Linked DNA regions of Rattus norvegicus. The protein of the gene in region 1 purifies or fractionates together with the protein of each later gene. This does not show direct contact. Links are inferred from orthologs where the notes say so. Each region holds a gene or a part of one and is shown in the gene's direction. Other genes may lie near its edges. The genes, in order: Arid2, Bcl7a, Bcl7c and Smarce1.

Region 1 (6,789 bases):
ACAGCTGAGTGCATTGTTTTGAATTTGATTGTTGACTGTCTACTTGTGGGCCATCTCCTATTTCTGTTTTTACATCTTCAGGTGGCTGGAGATACACAAGTTCTTTTAGCTCTTCTGTTTCTGTGTATAATATTCTGTTATAGGGGCCAGACATGGATTGGAGGTCAGTGTGGGTCTCATTCAAAGCCCTGTCTCAAAGTGCAGTAAAGAAAGAATGCCAGGGTGCAGAGTTCTGGCTCATTGCTTCTAATGGCTGCTGTCTGAGGTGCTCTCCAGTGAGCTGGCTTGTTTATAAGCAGTCAGTTCTATACAGAGGGTTTGTTTTTGTTTCTCCTTGGAAGAACCTCCGATTTTCTCACCTTTTGTAGGTAGGCAGTTTTAAGGACAGTTAACATGAGGGCTTGCATTGTGGAAATGAGACGGAAGGAAGGTCCTTGTGTCTCTTAAGCCTGTTTTCTTCCCACTGATTAATTCTACCTATATTAATTCCCCTCGCCTATACTGCCCATTTCTAAAACCTATTATGGGGGTTGTGGATTTAGCTCAGTGGTAGAGCGCTTGCCTAGCAAGCACAAGACCCTGGGTTCGGTCCCCAGCTCCGGAAAAAAAAGAAAAAAAAAGGAAAAAAAAACCTATTATGTTTTGTTTCTCAAGAAAATAAATTTCTTTTCAAATTTTGGTGCTTTTGATAGGATATAAGCTTTTCAAATTGTTTGGTTTTCCCCAAGGGTAATTTGTATCTTAAAATGTTTCTAGTAAAACAACTCAGACCAGCATGTGAAATTGAAAATTCCAGAAAATAAACAAAAGTTATGTTTATTATACAAATCTCTAGCCTTAAAGTATAAATATAAAAGAAAGAAAAGACTCTGGATATAGCTGTGTCCAGAGGTAAAACATGTTCGGGTCCCTAAGTATAACCTCTTGCATCCCCACCCCCAAGTGTTTGGCTTTGAGACAGGTCTCTGTATATAACCCTGGCTAGCTTAGAACTCTACATAGATCAGGCTGGCCTTGAACTTAAGAGATCCATCTGCCTCTGCCTCCCAAGTGCTGGGATTAAAGGCACGTGCTTCTCAACTGAGCTAAGTTTGGTCTTGTTTTTATAGAAAATCATGTATTCTCCGTTGATTTCAAAGTTTGTTAGATAAAATTTTGAGAAGTCATGTTTAAAGGGTCTACAAAGCAAAATTTTCAGTGAGTTTTGGGAATGTAGTACCCCCCATACAAGAACAATAAAGTCCCACCAGTACCACAGAACCCTGCTCTGCCCTCATCTGGCAGCCTCCTCCTCTCCCCCAGCCTTCCACTGTCCTACTCCGGTTATTCTAAGTGACTTTAACTTGATAGAAGTCATATCAGACAGTGGGGTTTTCACCACAGGAATTGTGAGATTGATTTCTCAGGTTACATGTAGCAATGCTGTGCTCATATTTCTGGAGTACAGAATTATGGTTACTGGCTTGTTCCTTTGGTATCCACATTTTGTTCCTAGTCACGGAAGGTGAACCTAGGGCCTTGTCCATTCTGTGCAAGTGCTCCACCACCAAGCTATCCCCAGCCTTCCTCATTGAGTGTTAAGTTAGAACTTGTTTTCCCCCTTGATTAACTTCTCTACAGGGTTTTTATCACAATTTTAGTGATGTTTTCACCTCTTTTTTTCCTGTTTTTGTTTTTTCTAAGGTATTTTTTATCATCTTAGTTTCACCTACATTTACATATATGGGCCACATATGTGCACTGCCTAACAGGTCAGACTGGTTAATCAGAACCAAACAGGGGTCCTTGGCACGATCAGGCTCTTAACCGCCAAATGATGTCAGCAGCCCATTCTCTGGTTTCTTTTCCCAGGACTTTATTGAAAGTAGTTAAGTTCTTGGGTATTCTCACTGCTATGTGACTTATCTTCCAGATGTTAAACATGAAAGTTATCACACTAAGCCCAACTTGAACGAACTGTAAAGTGAACGAACATTCTGTATCATTGCATAGCTTCCGTTTGACAGCTGAGTAGGCTTTACCTCAGTTACCTTAGCCTCCTGTCCCTCGGTACTCTCCCCATCCTTGTCCTCCTTAGCCCACGGCCATCTTTACTGATGACACTCACTCCCACCGTCTCTATGGTCACAGCCATCAAGACTGTCGCCTTTGTCACATTTGAGTTCATGAACGTGTTTGTTACTTGCCAACAACTTTCTGATTTGTGAAATTCATAAAATGCTGAATGAAGATACAGAAATACTCTGTGTAACATTCCGTGGATGCCAACCCTGAGCAGCTGAGGTGTCTTCTGAGTGTGGGGTCCGGCAGACACCTTAATTTCCTCACAGTGAATCCTATTAGTTGATGGTTAGCTTGAGCCGCCTCTTTCTACAGAGCTGTTGATATTTTTATTTTAGCTGTATAATCTGTGATAAGGAATCTTATGTAACTATGATCCTGGAGACTGACAATTTGTTTCCTTTTGTTTTTTAGATTGTTAAAAAGACATGAAAACAACTTATCAGTGCTAGCCATTAGTAACATGGAGGCTTCCTCTACCCTTGCCAAATGCCTTTATGAACTTAATTTTACAGTTCAGAGTAAAGAACAAGAACAAGACTCAGAAATGCTGTAGTGAATCCTACCCCACTGACACAGTGGGGGCTCAAAGTCAAACACATTTCACTGTTACTGAAGAAAGCACCAAGTCTTAATGGAGCAGAGACCATAGAATGAATTATTTTGTGTCCTCCCATGATGCTGAGAGGAAGCTTCGTATTCTGATCTCTGAACGAATCCCTTTCTTTTCTGTTAAAAAAAAATCTAAAAAGGAAAAAAAAAAAAAACAAACAAACTGCTGTGGGATTGACAACCAGCCTATCTGCAGGATGTCTCGGGTCTGGCCAATCCTGATGGAAACTGGTGTGATCAGAATTCTGTACCATCCACATTGGAATATACATGGAATAGTGTAAAACCTACGTGAGCAGATGAAATAGAAGCATTAAATATTTTTATCTATATCCAAAAAGGAGCACATTTTTATATTTACAGAACCATTTAAGCTGGTTTGAATAACGACGACAAAGTTTGAGCACACCTATCCCCCAGCTTCGGAGGGGCCACCAGTATCTAGCTGTGGATTGTGTGTTTTGTTTAGAATCAGTAGCTTGGTTTTCTTACTTGAGCCAATATATTTTCACTTATTTATTATCATAAAAATTTACCAGTCTGAATAGATCTTGTAAATATTTGTGAATAGAATGAACACCGTTCATACCACTGCAGCCACTGGAAATCATTCTGTGGTGTCCTGGAAGCATTATCGGTAGGCTCTAAAGTTTTCTAGACTTTGCTGTCACCTGTAATTGTGATGTATTCTAGGCAGTGGTGGACACTCTTACATTTGTGTAAATACTTCTGCAGAGGTACTGATGCTGTAAAGTCAACAGTTTTGTGGAACTGTGATTTTTTTTTCCCCCTCCTTTTTTTGGTTTCCTTGGATCCCACTCCCTTGGGTGGGGTTTTTTTGGGTTTTTTTGTTTGTTTTGTTTTGTATTATACACCTTGTAGAACTCATTTTGCTGGCTGAAAGAGTATGGAATAATATATCTCATGTCATTTTTGTAGAAGAAAAACTATTTGAATTTTTTTTTGTTTGGTTTTCCCTCCCATGTATCCACTGTAAGCATTTGTCATGTGCAAGCTCAGAGCTTGTGCAGAATTTTTTGTATTTGTAAATTGGTTTAAATACATGGAATTTTATACAGGTTTTCTCCTGTGTTATATATGCATTATGTGCAGGTATGATATTTTCTTCACTACTTTTTCTATCTTAATATAGTGTGGAATTTTATTGTATTATTCTTCCATTCTTAATACTGTACCACATTCCTGCTCAAAAACTGCTCACTTCCTTAAATTGTCTTTTTTCCCCCTAAGCGTGAAATGTATCCACTTATAACTGCCTATTGCCTGTTCTATTAGCATCCAAAAATGTGGAAGGCCTCCCAACAACCATTTCTGCTGTGTCCTTAGGATGTGCAGTAAAAAATATAGACCTGACAGTTTATGTTATAGAATGGCTTTATTTACTTTGGTGACTGTTTATAGTTTTTAAATAAAAGACTGAACATTTTCTTGAGTCCTTTATTTCTGAGTATGCTTAAGACATTGTAAAATTTAAAGTCTAGCTGAAGGCAAAGTCAAACGGTCACCTCCTTTATACTTTGTGATAATATTGTAGAGAGCAGAAAGGTGCATCAGATGACATACACCATGGTCATGGCAGGAAAACCAAACTTTTTGTTTACGATATTTAGGAGCAGTAAGCCCAGTGAGAGACAGTTCAGAGCTCAGCTGCCTTACCCTTGTGTCAGCATCTGACTGAAGCTTTTCTTTACCATTTGACTGTAGGTTGAATTCAGAGGCAGATTTTTTAATGAGCTTCAGTCTGGACATACATTTTCAGCATCTTGATTCACTAATTATTACCTGAAGTAATTTCTCCCCAAGGGGCCTCTGCCTGTGTACTCGGCTCTATCTGTAAAACGATGTGTGGAAACACCCAAAACTCGGTATTCTCAGGTTGTTGGCATTGACTTCTTCACCTTAGACTGGGGCTGCCCAGCAGACAGCCTGGGTCCAGATACCTTATTATATCCCGCAAATATTTCCAGACTAAAGGTTCCTAAGGGCAGATGGTGGCAGACATTTATATTCACTGTGTTTATCTAAAAAATTTGAGGCTTTCTGAAATAATTTTTGTAACATCACTGTTTGCTTCTCTTCAAGGTACCTTTTACCTTTCAAAGCAGGAAATTACCACGGTGGTTAACTTTTAGTAGCAGAAACAACAGGCTTAAAGTGATTTCCACAGTCACCATCTTGTCACCTCACTGAATTGCATCCTGTAGTTGTAGGTTTTGTGTTAAAATGTATAAATGTGTCTTTAGTGCTTTTAAGCAATGGTCTCAGCAGAATTTTCTCAATGTACTTGACCTGAGGAAACCAATTTCTAGCTTCCCTCTTAGGCTTTCCCTCCGACAGCTTTACCTGACTAGCGGACTAACACGGACTTGGTGGGTGACGCAGCTGAAGTGCCCTTGAGTCCAGGTCCTGCAGAACCCTCAGTCATGAAAAGGTGCTCCGTGCTAGACAGAAACTTGCTGACTTCCAGTATTGTTATTTTTGTCTAAAGTTGTGTAAATACAAGCTTTGATGTTATCTTTGAGAAATCTATGTAAATAATAGTCAACAACATAGACTGTACAATTCTGTGTTATATATGTGCCTAGTGCTCTGTTGGCACTTAATAAATTTTAAGTAACAAAACTGATGATCATATAGTGAAGGCATATTTTTCTTCCGACTTGACAGGATATGACTATATATTAATGAGACTCAATAAACCAAGCCACACATGAAAACTTGTCTCATTACTTTATAGCCATGCCATGTATGTTTTTTAAACCATAAATGACAATAAAAGTGATTTTTGAAATGAGTGTTTTGGGTAAGTGGCTTCTGTCCTGATCTTGTACCATAACTGAAGTCCTGAAGACAAAGTGTGAAGCTCTTCCCCAAAGGAACAGCTGCTCAGAAACAAGACTTTGGCTTTGAGATCAGCCACGCAGGACACCTCACAGTGGTCCCTCCTTCGTTATCTGACACAGTAAGAGAAGGCACCATTTATAGCCAGTTGGTGCTAGTTAACTGCTCTCATACTGCAGTGCACAACTCTTGACTGGACTCAGGCACTCAAATACTTGGAATTAACTAGCCTCCTTCCAAGGCCACAAACAGATGAGACCAAATCACCATCATAGCCGTAAACTTTACCTAGCAAAGATTTCCATTTACTGCACTGGTTTGAAAAAAAAATGCAAAGGGACAGTATCCATGTATGTAGGTGGATACATTTCCTTTGATAATAACTCAAGTACTAAACAGAGGGTGGGGTAGCTCGAATTGCAGATGCTAACACAAGCAGGAAGAAGCGGCCAACGAGATGGAAGCACTAACATGGCTGTACACAGACATTAGTCGTGGTCTGCAGCTACGACCAGGATGTTAAATGAACTAGGACACAGCAGAAACCATACAGTACAGCATTACTGCCTTACAGCAAACCTTCATCCAAGCACTGCTCACAGGCTGACAATCCCCAAGACTCTATATCCCACCCCTGCCTCAGATGCAATGACCCTGAAGCAGCTGCTTGCCAGCTCAGATCCTCGTCTCTAAATGCTGCTTTTTGAGTTCAAGTGTGGCTCACTGGTACTGCTCACGTGGCAACATTAATGCACATGAACAGTAGTTTAGGCTCATCCGTCGATTATAAATGACCCCGTGCGCTGTCTTGCGGTCACTGTCTAGTGACTTACTGTCATGGAGCAGTTTATGGTAACTTACAAATCAGGGTCACAATTGAGTCTGGGTTTTGATTGCTAATAGCAAGACAGTCCTTGCCCTCCTGAACAGACCCATTTAGTTAAAAAATTTTTTTTAAGTTCCTTTGGGAAGTTTGTAATGGCATTCTTAGGTATGGTATCTCATCTGTAGTCAGTAAGGCCTTTCATCCCAGCACCCAGGAGGCAGAGGCAGGCAGATCTTCGTTCTATCTCAAAAAAGAAATGGAAGGGGAGAGGAGACCAAGAGGGCCAATCCACCATGCTCCACGGTTAACCAAGTATTCTCAATAGCACAAACTAATGTCACTGGGTAAACCAGGTAACAGCTGTGTGCTTTGAGAGGGCTGAGGTCTGGTTGTGTGTGACTGTGAGGAGGAACGTAGCCTCAGACTTT
Region 2 (7,940 bases), on another chromosome or scaffold:
AGCAAACTGAAGTCAGGTGGTTTCATGGAGCAAACCCGGTCACCTGAGCAGCTTGAAAGGCGAGGGCCGCTTTGCAGAACTCCAGCTGCTTCTAACCAATTTGGATTTCTTTTTATAATAGCCAAATTCACGTAACCTCACATCAGCCATTATGAACATTTTCCTCCCTTTCCCATTTTCATGGGTATGCATGTGTACGGTCTCCATGTGTGCACACACATTTGCACGCATGGTGTGGTGCACATGTACATGGAGGTGCATGTACAGAGGTCAGTCCATGTCTGGAATTGTCCTCTGTCTGGCTTATTTTGAGGCAGACTGGCTCAATCAAACCAGAGCTTGTAAGTATGGCTAGTCCCAGTAGCCAGCCTGTTCTGAGGAATCGCCTGTCTCGGCCTTTCAAGACTTTGGAATTACAGGCCAGTGGCCACATCTACCAACCAAAACTTTCCATGAGTTCTGGGGATCTGAGCGATAGTCTCTGTGCTTTCGTAGCAAGTGTCTAACCACTGAGTCATGTGCCTGGCTCATTGTAACCATTTACAAGTACAGTTCAGTGACATGGGACATTCACTTCTAACATATAGGTCAAGAAAACTTTCTTCATTACAAAAAAAAACCAACCAACCAAACAAACGAAAAACCATTGGCCACCATTCCCTCTCCCCGTCCCAGCTCCTGTCTACTCTAGATAACTCCTGTAAGTGGGGTCATACAATCTTTGTCCTTGCATGCCTTTATCTTTCTACCTATCATGCCTTCATGCATGTTTAACGATATTGGTATTCCTTGTATTATTATCACGGATGAATAATCCCACTGTTTGAAAAGACATCCATTCGTCAATTGGTATTTGGGTTTTTAATATTTTTACATTTCATCTAGTGCGTGCGCGCGTGCGTGCATGTGTGTGTGCGTATGGTATGTAAACATGTGGCGATAGGAGAACAACTTTCATGAGTTCTTTTTTCCACAGTGTGGGGTCTGAGAGTTGAACTCTGGTCTTCAGGCTTGGCAGCAAACACATGTACTAAACCATCTTGCAGACCACATATGTGAATTTTCAATATATCTTATTTTAAAATTTTTTATATATATATACATATATATACATATATACACACACACACACACACACACACATATATATATATATATATATATATATATATATATATATAACATATATTCTGTGTCGAAACTGTGGTATAGCACTTGCCTAGCAGGCACAATTTCTGCACTAAACAAAAATTCATTCCCTGGGGTACAAGCACATATCTGATGGTCAGATACAGAGGGCCAAAAGTATGAGACTTCTGATTTACAGCACAGTTTTCAACCATGATAAAAATGGTTCTTTGACATATTTGTGGTGTGTGTGTGTATGTTGTTGTTATTTATTTGTTTTGTTTTGGTAGAGTTTGTCTTTGTAGCCCTGGCTGTCCTGGGACTCACTGCTATGTAGACCAGGCTGACCTTGAACACATCGACATCTGCTTGCTTCTGCCTCCCAAGTATTGGTATTAAAGGCGTGCACCACCACTGCCTGGCTCGACTGTTTTTTTTTTGTTTTTCGATTTTGGATTTGAGACAGCGTCTCACTATGTAGTCCTGGTTAGTTAGTCCTAGAACTACGTCCATAAACCAGGCTGGCCTTGAACTCACAGAGATCTGCCTGCTTCTGCCTCAGGAGTGCTGGAGTTAAAGGACTGGGCTACCAGGCCTGACCGTTCATATTTTAATTTTTTTCTTTTTTCTTTTTTTCGGAGCTGGGGACTGAACCCAGGGCCTTGCGCTTGCTAGGCAAGCGCTCTACCACTGAGCTAAATCCCCAACCTCCATATTTTAATTTTTTCCGCATTAGGATCCTGTGTTTAAAGTGGTTAAAAGATAAGCCTGGGGAAGATCCCACAGATTCTCACCCCCATCTCCCCACTAGTTCCCTCTACCAAACCCCTGCAGCACCCCAAACTTCAGGGGGGGTGCTGGGTACTAGAATCACAGCAGTCGCAGATGAAGTTCACGGCTGCAACCTTGAATCACCCCTTGACTCAGTTTCCCCATTTATGAAAGGGCTGATGTTGGCATCAATGCTCATTTTAGGTCATCTCTTGTCCCAGCATCCACCTGGACGAGCATTCGCTCTGGTCCAGTCTGTCTAGCCGCAACTGCACACCCACCTGTCCCTATCCTGGTTGACCGCGGTACATTCTGCCACGCAGCTCGGTCCTAGGGTAGGAAGACAGTTCCTCAAAAGAAAGTCCTTCTGTGTTGGACCAGTCCGGTTTACTTGCTGCTCCGGGCCAATACACTGCACTTCTACTAGGAGCCGTTTCAGATTAAATTGTCATTTTCAGAAAACCCCAAGGAGGTTGATCCGTGACTGGGACAACTTATCTCTACGGGAAAGAAAGTCCTGCGACAATGTCAATTGCCACCGGGCTCCAGCACCTTTCCTAGGACTGTAGTTTAAGCATGGGGAAGCGACTTTCTAGCTCGCACATTTTAACAAGGCAGCTGGCCAGAGACCGGCGCCTCAACTCTTTCTAAGATCACCTCGCGTCCCAAACCGCAGCCTCCAACTCCGAGAACTCAAGCGCCCGACAAGAAACTTGCACGATCGCGCCCGCGGCCACCAACCCGAGCCAGAGCACCCACGGCCTGCAGTCTGCCATCCCCAGGGTGTGTGTCTTGGACGGAGAGGCCCCCAATCGCACCTGCGGCCTCTGGGTGAGTCCGGTCGCGGGGCCGTCCCGCGTGCTGGGAGGTCGGGGTCACCCAAGATAGCTTCCCAGGGCGAGGTCCCCGAGGCTCCCCGGGGTGGGCGGCGGCGCCCGGAGGCCGCACTGCTGGCGGCCGCGCCGCTCCCCCTCGCTCTGTGCAGCTGCCGCCCGGCGCTTGCGCACTGGGCCCCGGGCGCGCGGCGGCACCAGGCTTTGTGTGTGCGCGTATGTGTGTGAGTGTGTGTCTGTGCGCGAGTGAGAGAGCGGGCGAGTGTGGCGAGCAGGACCCGGCGGGCGCGCTCCCCCAGCCTCTCTCTCCTCTCTCTCCCTCCCCGCTAGAACCATGTCGGGCAGGTCGGTTCGAGCCGAGACCAGGAGCCGGGCCAAAGATGATATCAAGAGGGTCATGGCGGCTATCGAGAAAGTGCGCAAATGGTAAGCCGAGGCGCCTGCTCGCTCTCTAGCTCTCCCCGGCTCGCTGCACCGCATCGCGGCCGCCAGCAAGCCGGGACCCAGCGCGCAGAGCGGCGGGGCGCAGCGGCCCCGGGCCCGGAGTTGGCGAGGGCGCGCGGCCGGGGTCACCTGCGCCCCGCGGGGGCTGCGTCCGCTGCCCAGGTGTGCTTGGCGCCGGTCGCCCACCTGGCGCGGCGGCGGAGGCAGTGGCGGTGGCGGTGGCGGCTGCAGCCCGGAGCCCGGAGCTCCGAGCTCGGCTCTCGGGAGAGGGGGGTTCGCAGCCGGCCCCAGAAGCCATTTCGTTTTTTTGTGCAAGTCACATGAAAGCGGCTTCCCGCGCGCCGGGGCCGTGATGCCGGCGGCGGCGGGCAGAGCGCGAGCTCCATTGTGCAGCGCGGAGCGGGCCGCCGTCTCCTCCCGGGGCGGCGCGGCGCCGGTGTCCCCCCAACACACACACACATACGCACACACACTCTCACCCTACGCCCCGACCCGCCCGCAGCTCCCCGCCTCCCAGGCCTCGGCGCCCTCGAGTCTGCGGAGTTTGCAGAGCGCGAGCCGTTTAAATTTAGCGCTTTGGGCAGCCTGGAGCGAGGGCTCCGGGCGAGGAAGGAAGATGGGGGCGAGCGCTAGGAAGGCGGTGGCGCGGCCCGGGCGCGGAGCACCCACGGCTCCCACGCGCTCCGCGCGGCACCCGGAGCTTGGGGAACGCGATGTTTGCAGCCAGAAGCCAAGTCCTGGGCCGTGTCTTGCCTTCTTCTAGCTGGAGCTGGTGTTTGTTTTGCGGAGAGAGCGAGCGACCGTTGTTTTTGTTCTCTGCACTGGGGGAGGAGGAGGGGACCGGGAGATTCGGTGTGGGCCGTGCGTGTTTTTCGAGCTCAAATTAGATCGTGCCCGGCGTGGCCTCGTTATAATTAGTAGGATGGAACATTTTCACGGCCCTCGTCGGGATCTGACTCCGAGGCGGCCCCAGAGACCAGGCCTGAGGCTCCAGTAGTCCACCACCAGGTTGGGTCAGACTTGTTGAAAACTCCCTGCTCCCTGATTTTAACTTTATTACGTTTTTTTTTTTTTCCCACGGCTTCATCTGGGTCCGAGCGGGAGAGGAGCAGCTGCGAGGGTGTCCCCAAGTGTCAGCGGCTGCTGGCTGGACCTGTCCTTTATAGGAACTGGCCAGGCCCCACTGCAGGCTGTTATTTTGGGGGGGTTTCATTTCTTGAGTCACGCCTCTGTTGTTGTTGTCTTTTTTTTTTTAAACACTTCTGGGGGTGCCTGTCTCCGGCTTGATGGTGTCACAAGTTAGCTGTCCTTTCAGAGTGAAACCCAACAAAAAAGGCAAGGAAAAAAATCAATAAAGTCCACGTGCTCCCGGGCCTCCTATGGAAAGGGCTGTCTGCGGATGGCCGGATGCCCGCCGTGGGCTGGGTTTGGCTCCAATGGGACAAAGAATTTTCACAACCGTGAGAAGGGGAGGCTTTCCAAAGTTGAGATCCAAGTCCTGGGTGCCGGGAGCTCCCCTGCTGAGCAGGGCGACTAGTGCCCAACTGGAGCCATTTAAAAATGGCAGAAACAGCTGCAGGCCAAAACACAGGAAAACAGCACAGTAACGGACCCTCTCCTGTGGGACTCTCAAGGGAAGGCTGGGGTGGTAGAGAACTGATATCAGAGCAAGCGTCCCTTCTGTCTGTCACCGGCCTGGACGGTAGAAAGCGGCAGGCTGGCCGGTGTAAGCTGCCTTTCTGGTCCTGGAGCTGTGACAGCTGCCGCTGGGTCTGCCAGCTGCTCTGCAGGGCGGGCAGATGGAGGGATGGGGCTTTCCACCCTGCGGGCCCCAGAGCAGCAGGCCTGGAGACTTCTTCCATCCCAGCGGGTTCACAGCCTGCGGAGCCTGGGAGTGCAGCGGGGGATGTGGCCGCCTTCTTCCCCGTAGTGCATCATGACCTCTAAAGACTTCAGGCTTTTTGGGATCTCCTGCTCGAGTTTCTACTTCTCTTCCTAGCTGTGACCTTGGGCAAAGCATGAAACTCAAGTTCCTTGCTGCTGTCAACTAGGGGACTCGGTGCCCCTTCCCCTTCCAGAACTGCCTAGGACTGGCTAGTCAGGTGGAGTCACTGGAGTACACAGGGGCCCTTGTAAACGCCCTTATGTAAGGTGGACTTTTGTAGAAATTTGGATCTGCTTCCCGTCCCCATCTTACACAGAAATGCAGGGGGCTTCCTTGAGTCACGGGATCTGGTCTTGGCCTGTCTGTACAACAGTGTTGCAATCAACCCTGAAGGCTTTGGGGTTGTTTATTAACTGTGGGCACCAACCATGCATTTCACCACTGGCTAAGGCATGGGGCTGCCATAATTAGCAAAGGAAAATACAGAACACCCAGGTAAATTTGAATTTCAGAAAAATAACAAAGTGATTTAAAAAAAAAAAAGTCCCCCCTCCCCCGTATAGTGATGTATGCCTATAACCTTAGCACTTGTAGAGGCAGGAGAATCAGGAGTTCAAGGATAGCCTCAGCTACATACTGAGTTCTGGGCTAGCCTGGTCTACATTCAAGCTTGTCTCAAAAAAAAAGGCAAAAATGAAAATGTCTACTGAGAATATTGCTTTAATGGTAGAATTTGAGCTTAATATGTACAAAGCTCTGGCTGTACACACACACACACACACACACACACACACACATACACACATATACAACCCTTTATGTAAGTATAGCCCATGAAATATTTGAGACACATACCAAACAGTTATCCATTTATCTGAAAAACTCAAAATCAGTGAGGAATTCTGTATTTTATTTTACTTATTTATTTCTTTTTTTCGGAGCTGGGGACCGAACCCAGGGCCTTGCGCTTGCTAGGCAAGTGCTCTACCACTGAGCTAAATCCCCAACCCCCTGTATTTTATTTAGAGGAGAGGCGAGGTGTCTGGCATATCATTCAGTCTGAAAGCCTAGGATGGTATTTTTTTTTTAATACTCTGATTGGCTAGCCCTACCCTTCCTCTGCCCTGCAGAAGGAGCCAGTGTGAACTATGGCCTCCCCACCCATAGCTGGCGGCTACTCCTCTTCTTTCTGTCTGGTGTCCTGGCAGGGCGGGTTGGTGGGGTGTGAGGTAGCCAGAAGATGACTGAAGAACAACATGGTAGGTCCCTATTGGGTCAGGCTGGGAGGCCCAGTGTGAGTGAGAAAGACAAAGGGAGATCAGAGCTTCGTGGTAGGCATTGGTCCAGGACCTTTCAGCTCTCAGTCCAAGAAGTCCTTTAGCAACTCACATAAGGACAGACTGACTAGTTTGGGGCTTTTCACCCATCCCTAAGAAGTGCCATCTGAGGGGGACTCAGACCTGATTAGGATGAGGTCAGGTCTCCCGGGATGACAAAGACTAACCGTGTAGTGAATTTACAAAGGGATTTAGAGCTCTCTGGAGCCAACAAGGCCCCCTGAGACTCACCGCACCTAGACCCAGTAGAGCACTGGGAGTTTACCTTGGCCTTGAGAATCCGAGATGGACTCTGTAGTTTATAGAGGAGTCCGAGCTGGAGAAGAACTTTGGAGCTGTAGTCTTACATCTGGGACTTCATTTCATCCTTTTATCTCAGGAACACAAGGCAGGAGGTACAGAAGCCAAGCCTGTTGCCATGGGAACAAGCCTTTTTTTTTTTTTTTTTTTTTTTTGTGGCTAGGTCGAGGTGCAACTTGGTGGTCAAAGTGAACGCCTCCAGGTGGTGAGAGGTGCGGGGGCTGTGGTTGGGGGAGCCAGTGTTAGCCATTGGGAGCAAGCTGTGGCTCCCAGGGGGAATATGGACTGCAGATCATGTTTCCAGAGTACCCCAAAACTGGATTTTTATGGTTTTTCTCTCTCTTCTCCTTTGGTAACCCAGTCAACCTTTTAAAGGGTAAACCATGAGGGTAAACCAGACGTGCCTGCCTGCCGGCCACTGGCTTGCCACTCTTGCTGTTAGATGATGGGAACTGTCTCGTTCCCTCAGCATAGGGGCAGCCAGCTGTGTGTGTGTGTTCCCCCACGATGGGCGGCAGCACACGTAGGAGATGTGAGCTGCTGCCCTGAGCCAGGGCCCTTGGAAGAGACAAATCCCAGGTCAGAGGTCAATCCCAAGGTCAGGTCGTACTTCAGTTTTTGAAAGTTCTATTACTTTTTTCTTTTTTGACTTATTTTGTGTGTGGGGTGGGATCATACTCACGTGTGCTAGGACGCACGTGTGGAAGTCTGAGCCCAGCCTGTGGGGGTAGGTCCTCTCCTTCTATCATATCAGTTCTGAGGGTCTAACTCAGGTTATCCGATGTTTTTACCCACCACCTACTGAGCCATCCCACCAGACATCATCATCATCACCACCACCACCACCACCATCATCATCACCACTGTCATCATCACCTTCACCACCATCATCATTATTAATCTCATTGTGTAGTTTAGAGCCACCTGGGATTTAGAATTAGCAATCCTGCCTAAGTCCCTGGGGGTACAGGAATCTCAGGATCTCAAGGTACTAGAATGATGTCCCACCACTCCCAGCTCTCAAGGTCAAGTTCATAACTTTTGCCTCTGTCCCAAAGCCCCCGAGTCAGTGTCCACACTGATAAGAGTGCTGAGTGAAGAGGTCACGGGCTGGGGAAGAAGGAGCGGGTATGTAGTTGGTAGCCCACAATGCCTGATCACTTCAGACATTCGTCCCTGTTCATGTTGGGAGGCCCAGGGCTCCGGCATACTTTCCAACCACTAAGGTACTCTCTAGAATAG
Region 3 (8,100 bases), on another chromosome or scaffold:
TAGACTCTGAAAGGACTGGACACACTTGCCTCTACTATTGGTTCCCAAGCGCCTTGGGCACTGGCACAGAGGATCCACATTGGTTTCAGGTTTCAGATAATGGAGTGTAGGCACACCTTTTGCAACCTACTTTTTTTTTTCAACCTACTTTTAATAAACGTTCAACCTCTCCTCTTGCCCACCACCCAACAAAGGTAGTGGAAGAGAAAAGTTATGAGGATATGGGGGAAGTGGACCTGTTCAGCAATGTTTCCAATCTTCTTTGGCAGCAGTTCAGTCGTAGCAAACACCAAATATGACTCAGCAGCTGTCCAGTCTTCCAGGCAGGCAGACCCCAGGCAGGAGCCAGCAGCTGTAGCTTAGTCCTGAAGAAACTGCAAAGCTCACCAACAGGTCAAAGGTTTCAGAAGCAGCAAGCTGCCTCAGGAACCTCAGGAGCAGTTCTTGGGCGAGCTTCTCTCAATGTTGGAGTTATCACAAGTTGAGCTCAACAATACTAGGTAAGGCGAACCAATACATGTGTGTCGTTAGCAAAAAATATTGAGGCAGAACAAAGCAAACCAATGCTCAGTGCTAATCTCCCACTGTCTGTGAGGTCATAGTTATACTCCTTCAACACAGGTCCTTCTATATGTTTGCTATATCAAAACATTCTTTCATGTGTCTGTGTTAGCAAGACATCCTTTCAGCCTGTGTGCCCCAGAAAACTATCATTTGATATAAATGACTTCCCAAGCAAACCAGAAGTTCCCACTTCAGTGGAGCTTGTGAGAAAGGGAACTGAAAAAGCCTGTGTGGGAATGTCACCACAAGCAGACCGTCGGGACAAAGTTCACCGGCAGAGTGTAGCACAGGTGAACGTGAAGCCACGCTGTCTGCAGTGGACACACACACACACACACACACACACACACACACAAACCAGCAGTATTTATTGGGTATTCCTGGGTGCCAAGCAGTATTCTAAATGTTTTATACACAGTAACTTATTTCCATGTCAGAGGAGGCAGTAAGACAAAGGACTTGCCCACAGCCATGCAGGTAAGTGTGACTAGCTGAGAGATTTTACTTCTTTTTTTAATGTTATTTTTTTAATATTTATTTATTTATTTTATATAAGTACACTGTCATTCTCCTCAGACACACCAGAAGAGGGCATCAGATGGTTGTGAGCCACCATGTGGTTGAACTCAGGACCTCTGGAAGAGTAGCCAGTGCTCTTAACCACTGAGCCATCTCTCCAGCCCGAGGTTTTACTTCTTACAGTTTGGAAATGCTGTTAGTCATGGTGTGCACGGTCACACCAAAGCCTTACAGATACCCCTCACACACAGCACAGCAGACACGTTCTATCTAGTGATGGGCCAGCTTCAAATAAAAATCAGCTGAAACAGTCTCGTCATCTTCCCCTTTACTTATGTGTGTGTTGGAGGCCTGTGTGCACCTGAGTGTGGGTGCTGGAGGAGACAAGAGGACATGGAATCCCCTGAAGGCTGTGCAACGTGGGTGCTGGGAACAGAACTACTGTTCTCTGAGAAAGCAGTAAGAGCTCTAAACCATGGGGCCACATCTCCAGCTCCTATTTTCTTGCTTACTATGTATCTTGTTATTAGACCAGGCTGACCTCAAGCTTATAGTGATCCACCTGCCTCTGCCTCCTCGGTGTTGAGATTAAGGTGTGAGCCACCAACCTGGTCTTTTTTTTTTTTTTTAAAGAAAACTCGACATTTATTTTGGCTATGTATGGTATGTCAGGTGTGTGGAGGTCAGAGAGCTGTCAGGAGTAGGTTCCCTCTTCTATGATGTGGGGTCATCTATTGAGTTTAGGTCATCAGGCTTTGTGGCAAGTCCCTTGTTCACCGAGATATCTTGACAGCATTCATTTTCTTTAAGTAAACCTTTAGCTGAACTATAATACACACAAGAAAAATTACAAGTAATAAATGTCCATCTTGACAGACTAAAGACAAGTGTGACAAGCTCCCGGAAAACACCATGAATGTACTTGTGTTCTGAACTTAGATGTAGAATTATCTAATGCATGTTGTCACATCTGGCTTCTTTTGTTGCAGACCCATCCCCACCATTGCACATAGCAGGACTTTGGTTTTTCTGGTTGTTTTGTCTGTGCTCATGGTATAAACAGGTTGTAACTGGTTTTCCATTCCATTCTGTTGAGTGGCTCCCAGGTTGGTGCTATTATGAAGAGTACCGAACTTCCCAGTATACATATCTTGGTGTTCATACAGACACATTTCGTCCTAGTGAGGTTTCTATTGCTGTGATAAACACCGCATCTATTTCAGCTTGCAGTTATAGTCTGTTATGAAGTCAGGGCAGGAACTTAAAGCAGGAACTGAAGGAGGCCAGAACTGAAGCAAAACCTTGGACGAACTTTGCTTACTCACTTGCTCCCCAAGGCTTGTTCAGTCTGCTTTCTTAAAGTGCCCGGAGGTGGCACTGCCTACAGTGGTCTGGCTCTCCCACAACAACTATTATCAAGAAAATGCCCGGGGTTGGGGATTTAGCTCAGTGGTAGAGCGCTTGCCTAGCGAGCGCAAGGCCCTGGGTTCAGTCCCCAGCTCCGAAAAAAAGAAAAAAAAGAAAAAAAAAAAAAAAAAAAAGAAAATGCCCCATAGACTTACCTGCAGGGCAACATGATGGAGGCGTTTTCTCCATCAAGGTTCCCTCATTCCAGATAACCCTAGCTTGTGACGAGTTGACAAAAAAGAGGCAGCACATATTCCTTCTGTTGAGTGTTGCTAGTTTGGGAGTGGAAACTGTTGGAAGACGGGGTTGGCATAAGTTTTTCAATGGAAGACTGCCAGTTTTCCAAACTATCTCTACCAATTACACACCCTGATTCAAGGAATGGCAAGTTGCTCCTCTGCTACTTCATCTACATGGTCTTTTTCACTCCCGCCATTCTGATTGAGGAGGCCGGCTCTCCACTCGCAGAGTCTGGCTTGTACTAGGCGCTGTTAATGGAACTGTTCAATGAATGAATGAATGAATGAATGAATGTATGAATGAATGAATGAATGAATGAATGAATGAATGAATGAATGAACAAGTTAAGTTGGGCAGCTTAGAATCAAACAGCCTGGAGAGGGCAGACGCGCGCACACAGAGCATTTCAGGGACGCCCACCCGCCGCGGACGCACACCAGGACAGTCCCTCTCGCGCACCCCTGTGCCCACGTGGCCGGAACGCACCGCCTCGTTCGGGCCGCGCGCGTCCAGCCGCACCGCTGCCCCCCAGCTCTCCCTCTCCGCGGCGGGCAGAGGGCGCTGTGCGTCCGTGCGCCCCGAGGGGCGGGCCCGGGCCGGGGCGGAGCTGGCCGGGCTTCCAGGCCGGGGCTCTAGCCGCCCGCGCCGCCCGGGCCGCTCCGGGGACGGGCCGGGGCGGGGCGCGGTCTCAGGAAGCCAGGCGGGGACGCGCGGAGGCGTTGGGGAGCGAGGGAGGGCGCGGCCAACTCCCGGAGGGACGGCAGGCCGAAAGAGCGGCGCCGGGGCCTGGCGCGCAGCCTGAGATCGCCGGACCGCAGGCCGCCCCACCACGGGCTCTGTCCCGGCCCTAGCCCCGCCAGCATGGCCGGCCGGACCGTGCGGGCCGAGACCCGGAGCCGGGCCAAAGATGACATCAAAAAGGTGATGGCGACCATCGAGAAGGTCCGGAGATGGTGAGCGCTGCCCCCGGGTCAGGGATACAGCCAAGCCACCTCCTCCAAACGCGTCCGCCCTTTCCTGGCCCGCTGCCCCCGCCCACCAGCTGTGATCTAAATCGACAGGGCGCCCCCTTTCCTTGGCAATTCCCAGAGGTCTACAAAGCGTGGTCCGGAGTGGTGCTTTCCCTGAGCGGGAGCCCTCATCTATGCCCCGCCCCCTGAAGCTTTTGACACTCTCGCAAGCTTGGCCCGGGGTCTTCATTGCCTGAGTGCCTGGGCAGGCCTTGGTGGCGCCCTGCTGAGTGCCCCAGGTGTCTGCAAAACCGCAGCTCCAAGTTATATCCGTTTATGCTTTGCCCTGGGGTTTAGAGGGCTCTTTCTGCTTCTATGCCGTGTAAACGAAGCTGTCCGTACCCTAGCACACCTCCCTGACCTCCAGTCTGTGGGGCTCACCCTTGGGCCTCCCTGACCCAGTCTCCTGACCTCCCACAGGGAGAAGCGCTGGGTGACTGTGGGTGACACTTCCCTTCGAATCTTCAAGTGGGTGCCTGTGGTGGATCCCCAGGAGGAGGTGAGCAAGCCCAACCCCCAACATGCCTTGCATCTGTGCAACCTCAAGCAATTTCCCTCCCCTTGGCCTCCACCTTCAGTCGGCTTGGAGACTCCACTGTGGAGCCCAGGCAGATGGTAACGATTATTAGGGGGCATGAGCACGGAAGCGCGCGCGCGCGCGCGCGCGCACACACAAACACACACACACACACACACACACTTTCTCCAAGTTCAAGACCTAACTCGGCCTACACAACCTGAGGCAGCACCTTTTGCTTCTCTGAGCCTAGGTTTCCTTATTTGAATTGAAGGACTTTGTAAGAGCTCCCTGGACAAACTAGCTCTGATCTTACTTCTCTAACCCTCAGGAGAGGCGGCGGGCAGGAGGAGGGGCAGAGAGATCTCGTGGCCGGGAGAGGCGTGGTAGGGGCACCAGTCCCAGAGGGGGTGGCCCCCTCATCCTGCTGGATCTCAATGGTATGTAGAGATTCTGGAATAGGGGTGGGGGGGCTGGGTGCTGAAAGAAGCCACTGGGGTCCTCTGGCCAACTAACTTGACTTTTGCTTCAGCAGATGAGAACAGCAATCAGAGTTTCCATTCCGAAGGTTCACTGCAAAAGGGCACGGAGCCCAGCCCTGGGGGGACGCCCCAGCCCAGTCGCCCTGGATCACCAACTGGACCTCCAGAGGTGATTACAGAAGATACTCAGCCCCCACAACTGGGCCAAGAGAGAGGTAGGACCATGTGGCTCTTGGGAGTCCTCTCCTCACCAGAGTTGAACCTACCGCCTTGTATGTGTTTCTATATTGTGTTGTGTCCCCCCCCCCCTCCCCCGTCCTGCCTCCCTCAGGGAACCTTTCCTGACCCTGGCAGAAATTACCTCTGGCTGTGCCTGGCTCATTCCTTGGCATCTTGGATTTGTAGGGAGCGTGTCGCCATCTGAAAACTTTATGTAAATGTACTTTTTGCTTGCTTATTGCCTCTCTGTTACCATCTCATGTCAGACACACTGATCTGGTTCATGTGGGACGCATAATAGATGTTCGGCAACTAAATAATTCTGATAACCCTAGGGATTAGTAACCGTAGATTAACAGCTGACAGAACCACTTATCTGTTAGTCATTCTTCTGAGCACTTCAATGTTTTGTGGTTTGTTTTCTCATTTAACCCTCACTGACATTTTATGGAACCAATGATCCTATGATGATTCCTATTTATACACGAGGAGCCCAACATCCAGAGAAAGATGCCCAGACTTGCAGAGCCAGTGCGCCAGCTCCTCGGCCTTCCTGTAGTCCACCCCCCCTTCCCAGGCATGGCTGACTCCCGTGCCTTTGGCGCTCCCTTCTCACTTCTCACTTGCACTGGCTCTCGCCTCCACATGCTACAGCTTTCTTAGAGCAGATTCCAATCGGCCATTTTCCTGCTTTGTGTCCTTCGTTGGCTCCCGTGGCCTTTGATTCCTTCGTTTGAACCAGAGGCCTTTATAAACTGTTGCTACTGAAATTGTTCCCCTGTCAAGAACACCATGACATGGGGCTTGGGACCACACCTAGGTTGTCCCAAATACTTTCGCTAATATGAAATGATGGGGCAGGGCATGCAGCCCAGTGCAGGTGCTTGTCTGTCATGCCTAAGGTCCTAAGCCCCATCTCTAGTACCACAGAAATGAATGAATGAATGAAACTGCTAGCTGGCACTTCTTGAGCACATACTATGTGCCGTGTACTTGATCCACACAGCAGCCTCTCATGGTGTTACTGTCACTATTTCCATTCTGCGGATGACTGAGAGTCTGTGGTCACTAAGCACATATTTCTATCTGCCTAAATTCTACTCTACCTCCGTTTGCCTCCTGGCTCATTCCCTACTGACAAGATCCAACTTGAGTCTTCCTTCCTCAGCAACTTGGTACCCCTCTGCCCCCACAATGTCATCATGTGTGACCAGTGCCTGTCTGTTTCCTTTGCCCCTGGTCCACTCTCTCAGCACAGAGTAGCTGCTCAGGAAGTGTCTCTTTGTTTGGTGTTACAGATCCAGGGGGCACACCTGCAGGAGGTACTGATGAACCCCCAAAGCTGACCAAGGAGGAGCCTGTTCCAGAATTGCTAGAAGCCGAGGTGAGAGAGGCCAGAGTCCGGACTCTGGCCTTGTGGGGACTGGAGGCTTTGGGGAAGCAGGGAGACTTCATTCTAGGCTCCAGGAGGGAGACGTGGACCTAGAGCCCACAGAAGGCTTAGCTGGAGGTTGGATTCTTGGGTGAAGGAGAGGATTGCAGACACCACCCTGAGGGCTGATCATGGCTGATAGAAGAGCACTAGAAGCCTGAAATGATCTTGGTGCTCCCCTAAGGACTTAAAAAAAAAAAAAAAAAAAAAAAAAAAAAAACCTAGGCTCAGAATTCGGCTTGGTGGTACTTACTTCCTAAGCATGCGCAAGAGCCTGGGTCCCCCGCATCGCACAGACACACATCCTGAGCTGTAAACTTAGCCTAAGACATTGCCTTACCTTCCCCTACAAGGACTACCTTGATTTGCTTTTCAGAAAAAATCAGGTCCTTCCCCCCCCCCCCCCCGCCCCAGACAGGAGTGTAATTGTTTTTGGTGCCTTACCCTACATTCTGGTTACTTGGTCCTGGGCCAAACTCTGGGTTCCCAGGGGAGTGGAGTGGAAAAGTCAGGCTAGGAGGCTGTGCTCTTGGGTTAGAGTGGAGCTCACACCTGTCCGCCCTTCCTCTTCAGGCCCCTGAAGCTTACCCTGTCTTTGAGCCAGTGCCACCTGTCCCTGAGGCAGCCCAGGGTGACACAGAGGACTCGGAGGGCGCCCCCCCACTCAAGCGCATCTGTCCAAATGCCCCTGACCCCTGAGAAGCTGCCTGCCTCCTGTCCTGTTGCTCCAGGGGCCCCTTTGGCTTTTTATAAATAAAGACCCTTTTGTAATTTTGTGTCATGTCATTTCCCTGTCAAGGCTGGGGAGGGTCTTTGGAGACAGTTTTGGCTCATGCTCTATTCCTCAGATGGGGTCACCGAGGCTCTGAGATGACCTGTATTCATGTCATGATTACACATGGGGTGAGGGCTTGAGCCAGGACCTCTCCTCCCTTGCACCCTCGCCTTGCACTTCAACGACCTTTACCCTCCCCAGGGCCCAGCAGCTCTTCACTCACACTTCACTCCCCATTTCACTCACAGGAACACTGGCCCAGAGGAAGCACCCAGCCCCTCCCTGCCCTCAGGAAGCCACAGCATCATGTCTCTCCTCCTAGATGCCTTTCCCTGATTCTAGGCTCCATCAGGATCATTACCTTTGAGTTTCTATAGCCCTTTCAGCTTCCTTCCCTTTGTCTCAACATTTGTCAGGCTGTTTGGGGAGCATGAGTCTGTGTTTCTGTCTTTCAGGCTGCTGGCCTCTCAAGGGTAGGACTAGATCCCTAGATATTCCTAGCTTAACACTGGGGACATAGCCTAGCAAATGCTTCGTGAGTGACTGAGTAAATAAACAGGGCTGTAATCCCAGCACCCAGGAGGCTGAGGCAGGAGGATTGTTGAGTTCCTCTGTGACTGTATGTGTGGTTCTAGGCTAGTCATTTCTACTCTCTGACTCTCAGGTGGTTCACTTGACCAATGGGGTGATAATGAGGCCTCACTCCCCACTCCACCCCTACCTGTCCCTGACCGCCTTCAGCCCAGTCAGTGTCTGGTGAGAAACTTCATCCACATAAGCACTCCTCAGTGTGTACTTGTCAGAGAAGCAGGGTCAGGTGAGTTAGCCTGTTTTAATCATTAACAGAAACAGAGACTGCAGTTTAGGGAGGCATCACTTGAACCATCCAAGCACCTCTTGAAGTAATAATGGAGCCAGGGTTGACTAGGAAGTGT
Region 4 (4,300 bases), on another chromosome or scaffold:
CTTTCCTACCATTCCTTAATCCCACAGTTGCTAAAGCAGGGACGTAACAAGGCTGGAGTTACTGGGCAGACAGAGGAAGAAGACACTGGATCCCTGACGTAACTGTGTGGATCCTACATTCATCTTCTCTATGCTTTTTGTGTTTTAAAAAAAAAAAAAAAAACATTTTCAGATACATTTCCTTATGCTATTCACTCATCTGGAAAACTCTCCTTTAGCCTTTCCTTTCAATACACTTTTATTTCATTAATTTCATCTCACCAGAATGAAAATATTGGACAATGGAAGAACTGAACAATATTATCATTTATTCCTGGCTCTGCAGACTTCTAAAGATACCTCACGAGGATAAGGGCCAAGAGGTAGTCCCAGAATTCAACCAGTTTCTCTAGATGCTAACACTGTCCTTAGATAACCACAGACGGTCTGCTCATTTTTTCCTCCACCATGACGTGACCCACACTAGCCAACTTCTTATGGTCCGCCAAATACTTGTAATTTGTAAAAAAAAAAAAAAAAAAAAAAAAAAAAAAAGCCCTGGAATAGTCCAGAAAGGTGGCTACACACACACTTACTGAGCACCTAATTACAAGTCTAGCCCTTCGAAATCATTGGTAATTATGAAATTGTCCAGTCCAGATGCCTGAAATTTGGTTTTCAAGACTCTCCAAGATTGCAGATGGCCCAATCCCATCAAGAGGGTTTCAACAGGCCCTGGAAAAGTTCTAGGAGGGCATCACAAAGAAACATTGAGCTGACTATTTAAAGACAAGCGAGGGTGAGCTGAATTAGCCCTCCTGGTAAGAGATGTGAATTGTCACAGGTATGCAAGCTGGAAAGAGTGAGCTGACATATGAGGACCCTAGGCTCTGAAACCTGTCGCCATCATTCAACCTCTAGAAGCATCTGGAAAAACTACAAAACTCCCGTGTTGCTTTTCGCTTAGGTGGAGGCAGGGAGCCCTGCCGAGCGCCAGCAAGGACCAAAACGCGGGGATCCGGGTCCTCCCCGCCTACATTCTCCATCCTCCATCCACACGTCCATCAGCGGAGTACAGAGGATCAGAGCGAAGGGGAACGCCAGGGTTTGGGGTGTGCGGGAGCTGCGACCCGCCCTCTCCCGGGAGAGGCTCCAGCGAGCCTTCCCCCAGCGCTTGCCTCACGCAGCGGAACCCACCGCCTCAGTGAAGCCGGGGTACGCAGTCTGCGCAGTTCCTGCCGCCGGGCCGCGAACCAGGGCCCGCAACGCGGCCCAACCTTCTCCGCCCTCCTCGCCGTGACGAATCGGCGCCCGGCTGGGACAGGATCCAAATTGAAAGACTTCTGAGGGATCCGAGGAGCCTGAAAAAAAAAATCTTTGGCGCACTAAACCTTGCCGCGTCTTCACTGGAAGGGCTGTTCGTCGGAGGAGGGCCGGCCGCAGCCCGCAGAAAATTCCCCGGAGCGTGTGGAAAGTGCGAGCGCGGAAGCTCCGGCGCGAGGGGCGGGGCGAGCGCGGGACAAAGGGAAGCGAAGCCGGAGCTGCGGGCGCCTTCTCGGCCCGCGGGTGAGTGTTTCCCAGTGGGCCCGACCCGGTCGGGGAGGGTGGTGAGCTGTGGTGTTTCGGCTTGGCGGGACCCCGAGTTCCCGCGGGGTGCTGGGGTTCGGCCTCGGCTGCGAGGCGGGAGCTAGAGCCGGTGCGGCCTCTGAGAGGCCTAGCGGCGGTGGGGGAGCCCCATCCGGGACAGCTTCTCGGAGGCGCCACTAGTCCCTTTATGCTGGACTCCGGACGCTGGCCGAGCACCCATGCACAACCCTCTGCGGGGGAGTTTCCAGAAAAGCTCACCCTCCGCCCGCCACAAACTCAAAGGAAAGGATCTCGGGAAGCCCAATGGGCAAGGCTAGCGGGGGTCCTCACCCAGGAAGGTGGTTCCCATTTTGGTGGGTGGGGGGTGGGGCTCAAGTAGCGGCCTAAAGACACCCGGGGTGGCTTGGATGAAGTCTGAGACGGTGTGGGTTGGGTTTAAACCCACCTCTGGCATTTCTGGGCCTATGGCCTTAGACACTTAATCGCCCCGGGACTGTTTTTTTCCTTTGTAAAATGGGGACAGGCCATACGTATCTGGTAGGGTCGTTGTGACTAGTGAACAAGACTGTTAAAAGCCTGACCCGTAAGGTAATTAATTCAACAAATACTGAGTTGCATGCCAGGCACTATGGTTAGATCCACTCTCTACTAGAGTTTGTAGCCCAGGAGAGCAATCATTTGTAAGTATTAGCAGTGAAGTGTAAGGTGCCAGGGACCCTGTCACAGTTTCTGTCGGGGCTCCCCACAGCAAGGCCTACTGGGTGTTGATGGAAGTAAAAGAGATGGGTTGAAAAAAAATTAGCAATTAACACATCAAAAACTCTTAACCCTGATGGTTTGAGGCACTTCCTTTAAATGAAAACTAGAAGAAAGAAAAAAATGTATTCACCATCTTTCTAAAAATAAATTTTCATCTCTTTATGCATTACCATTTGTGGTCTGTGTTGAGAAAGGAGCAAGCTCAGATAATGTCCGTGTTTTGAGCTGGTAATACTAGGACCCAATTTATGAAGAATCGAGCTACGTTTGAGTAATAGGTTAGACCATCCCTCCTCTCTTGCAAGACAGAACCCAGCCACATTCACATGTTGTGTGAGGGAAAATGCCACTGATCTTTAGTAAGCCCTGTAGGAACGCAGAGACAAGGCAATTAGTTCTGTCCAGATAATTCACCAGAGAGGACCTGAGGTAATTTCTGAAATGGACAGTAAAGGAACAACAGGTGTCCTGTCAGTAACCTGAGAAAATTGTTCCAGCTCTTAGGGAACTATTTACCAACAAAAGAGAATGTAAAGTTTGTTAGCATGAGTTATCTTTCTTTCACACTGCCTCCAGGAATAAGACGTTGCTCTGTTTCGATAAAAGAGGCCCCCTCGATAGGGCAGAGCTTCTGATCAGGGGTTATTGGTCAGTATCTGGTAGGCCTTGTTGGGGTCACCCTGATAATACATCACATTCTATTGTCATTATTTTTTTTTTATCAGTCTTAAGTAATCGTTCGCATGGCATCAGCAAAATGTTTTCCATACAAGACGTGGCTCTCAATGTCATAAGCAAAAACCTAAAAAAAATCCATCTCTGATAGAACTCTAAATTTCCCAGTAATTCATTTTCATCACTTAATTCTGATCAATCAAATGAATATAAGGACTAGTTAAAATATGCAAAAAGGCTTGATTACTAGCAATTAACAGTGAAGTAATTTTGCTCAGAAATACCAAACTACCCTATTCTTTAGGAAAACATTCTCTTATGCTTGCTGAGTTTTGATTCTCTTTTTTTTTCTTTTTTTTCTTTTTTTTTATTTTAGTGTCTCAGATTCATTCTTAAGGAACTGAGAACTTAATCTTCCAAAATGTCAAGTAAGTTTCAATTTTTATATTTATCAATCTGTATTAATACGAGACTAATGCCCTAGCAAATGGGAATTCCAAAATACTCTCATTTTTTTTTCTTCAAAGCAGGACCATTGGTAGTTTTGTTGCATAGTATTATATCTCAGTTGTTTACAAGAAGTTATTTATTTTCTTTCAAACAGAAAGACCATCTTATGCCCCACCTCCCACCCCAGCTCCTGCAACAGTAAGTTTTAATTTTCTTGTTAATGTAATAGCCAAGTCTGGCCTTGATACAAAAACCCAGATGTCTTCCACTGACAGTCACTCAGTCTTCACAGCCACAGCATAGAAAATTCAGCTAAAAATCAGCACTTCCTACTAAATAAAATAACTCCTTTCATCCTTACCTTGAACCAAACCCAACATTTAAAATTACATGCTATGAACTCCCCACCTCCTGTGCTCTCTTTTCTCCTAGCAGGAAATCAGTGAGACACTCCTTTCTAGCCTTTCCCCTGGTAAAGGGCCTCGCAGCTGACAGTGAGTCAGTGCTCATCCTGCTGTTGGTTATTCCTTTATTTGTTGTTTTTAAACCTAACCTTCAACCGGTTACATTTTTCTCTCACTGTAAGTAAGGGCTGGGGTAGCTCAGTGACAGCACTCACCTAGCATTCGCAAGGCCCTAGGTTGGAACCCCAGCAGCACAAATTTTTTAATTAAACTTTCTTATCTGTGTATAAAATTTTCACATTAAATAAAGTGTCTTGTTCTAAGGATAACTACACTCATAAATCTTATTTTCAAGCTGCTCAAGTAAGGGTTTCATTACCCATGGGTCAGATCTCGTTTCTAAATTTTGTTCAGGTTGGTTTGCCAACTGCTCTGCTTAAAGGTGT

What was found.
Region 2: the proteins of Arid2 (region 1) and Bcl7a purify together in Homo sapiens (affinity purification with mass spectrometry; 3 studies listed by BioGRID and IntAct, counting the BioPlex papers as one, with this or other methods). This does not show direct contact. The link is inferred for Rattus norvegicus from reciprocal best matches to the Homo sapiens genes ARID2 and BCL7A.
Region 3: the proteins of Arid2 (region 1) and Bcl7c purify together in Homo sapiens (affinity purification with mass spectrometry; 3 studies listed by BioGRID and IntAct, counting the BioPlex papers as one, with this or other methods). This does not show direct contact. The link is inferred for Rattus norvegicus from reciprocal best matches to the Homo sapiens genes ARID2 and BCL7C.
Region 4: the proteins of Arid2 (region 1) and Smarce1 purify together in Homo sapiens (affinity purification with mass spectrometry; 7 studies listed by BioGRID and IntAct, counting the BioPlex papers as one, with this or other methods). This does not show direct contact. The link is inferred for Rattus norvegicus from reciprocal best matches to the Homo sapiens genes ARID2 and SMARCE1.

The regions. Positions count from the first base shown.
Region 1 is NC_086025.1:129,439,694-129,446,482, forward strand, and holds the end of Arid2 (AT-rich interactive domain-containing protein 2), read left to right. Parts: intron 1-2,475; coding exon 2,476-2,617; 3' UTR 2,618-4,120; downstream 4,121-6,789. UniProt on the Homo sapiens protein: Involved in transcriptional activation and repression of select genes by chromatin remodeling (alteration of DNA-nucleosome topology). Required for the stability of the SWI/SNF chromatin remodeling complex SWI/SNF-B (PBAF).
Region 2 is NC_086030.1:38,899,759-38,907,698, reverse strand, and holds the start of Bcl7a (B-cell CLL/lymphoma 7 protein family member A), read left to right. Parts: upstream 1-2,928; 5' UTR 2,929-3,066; coding exon 3,067-3,158; intron 3,159-7,940.
Region 3 is NC_086019.1:191,749,873-191,757,972, reverse strand, and holds Bcl7c (B-cell CLL/lymphoma 7 protein family member C), read left to right. Parts: upstream 1-3,331; 5' UTR 3,332-3,591; coding exon 3,592-3,683; intron 3,684-4,160; coding exon 4,161-4,239; intron 4,240-4,588; coding exon 4,589-4,697; intron 4,698-4,789; coding exon of another isoform or gene 4,790-4,792; coding exon 4,793-4,954; intron 4,955-6,256; coding exon 6,257-6,342; intron 6,343-6,963; coding exon 6,964-7,089; 3' UTR 7,090-7,161; downstream 7,162-8,100. UniProt on the Homo sapiens protein: May play an anti-apoptotic role.
Region 4 is NC_086028.1:84,673,374-84,677,673, reverse strand, and holds the start of Smarce1 (SWI/SNF-related matrix-associated actin-dependent regulator of chromatin subfamily E member 1), read left to right. Parts: upstream 1-1,500; 5' UTR 1,501-1,545; intron 1,546-3,376; 5' UTR 3,377-3,421; coding exon 3,422-3,428; intron 3,429-3,604; coding exon 3,605-3,648; intron 3,649-4,300. UniProt on the Homo sapiens protein: Involved in transcriptional activation and repression of select genes by chromatin remodeling (alteration of DNA-nucleosome topology).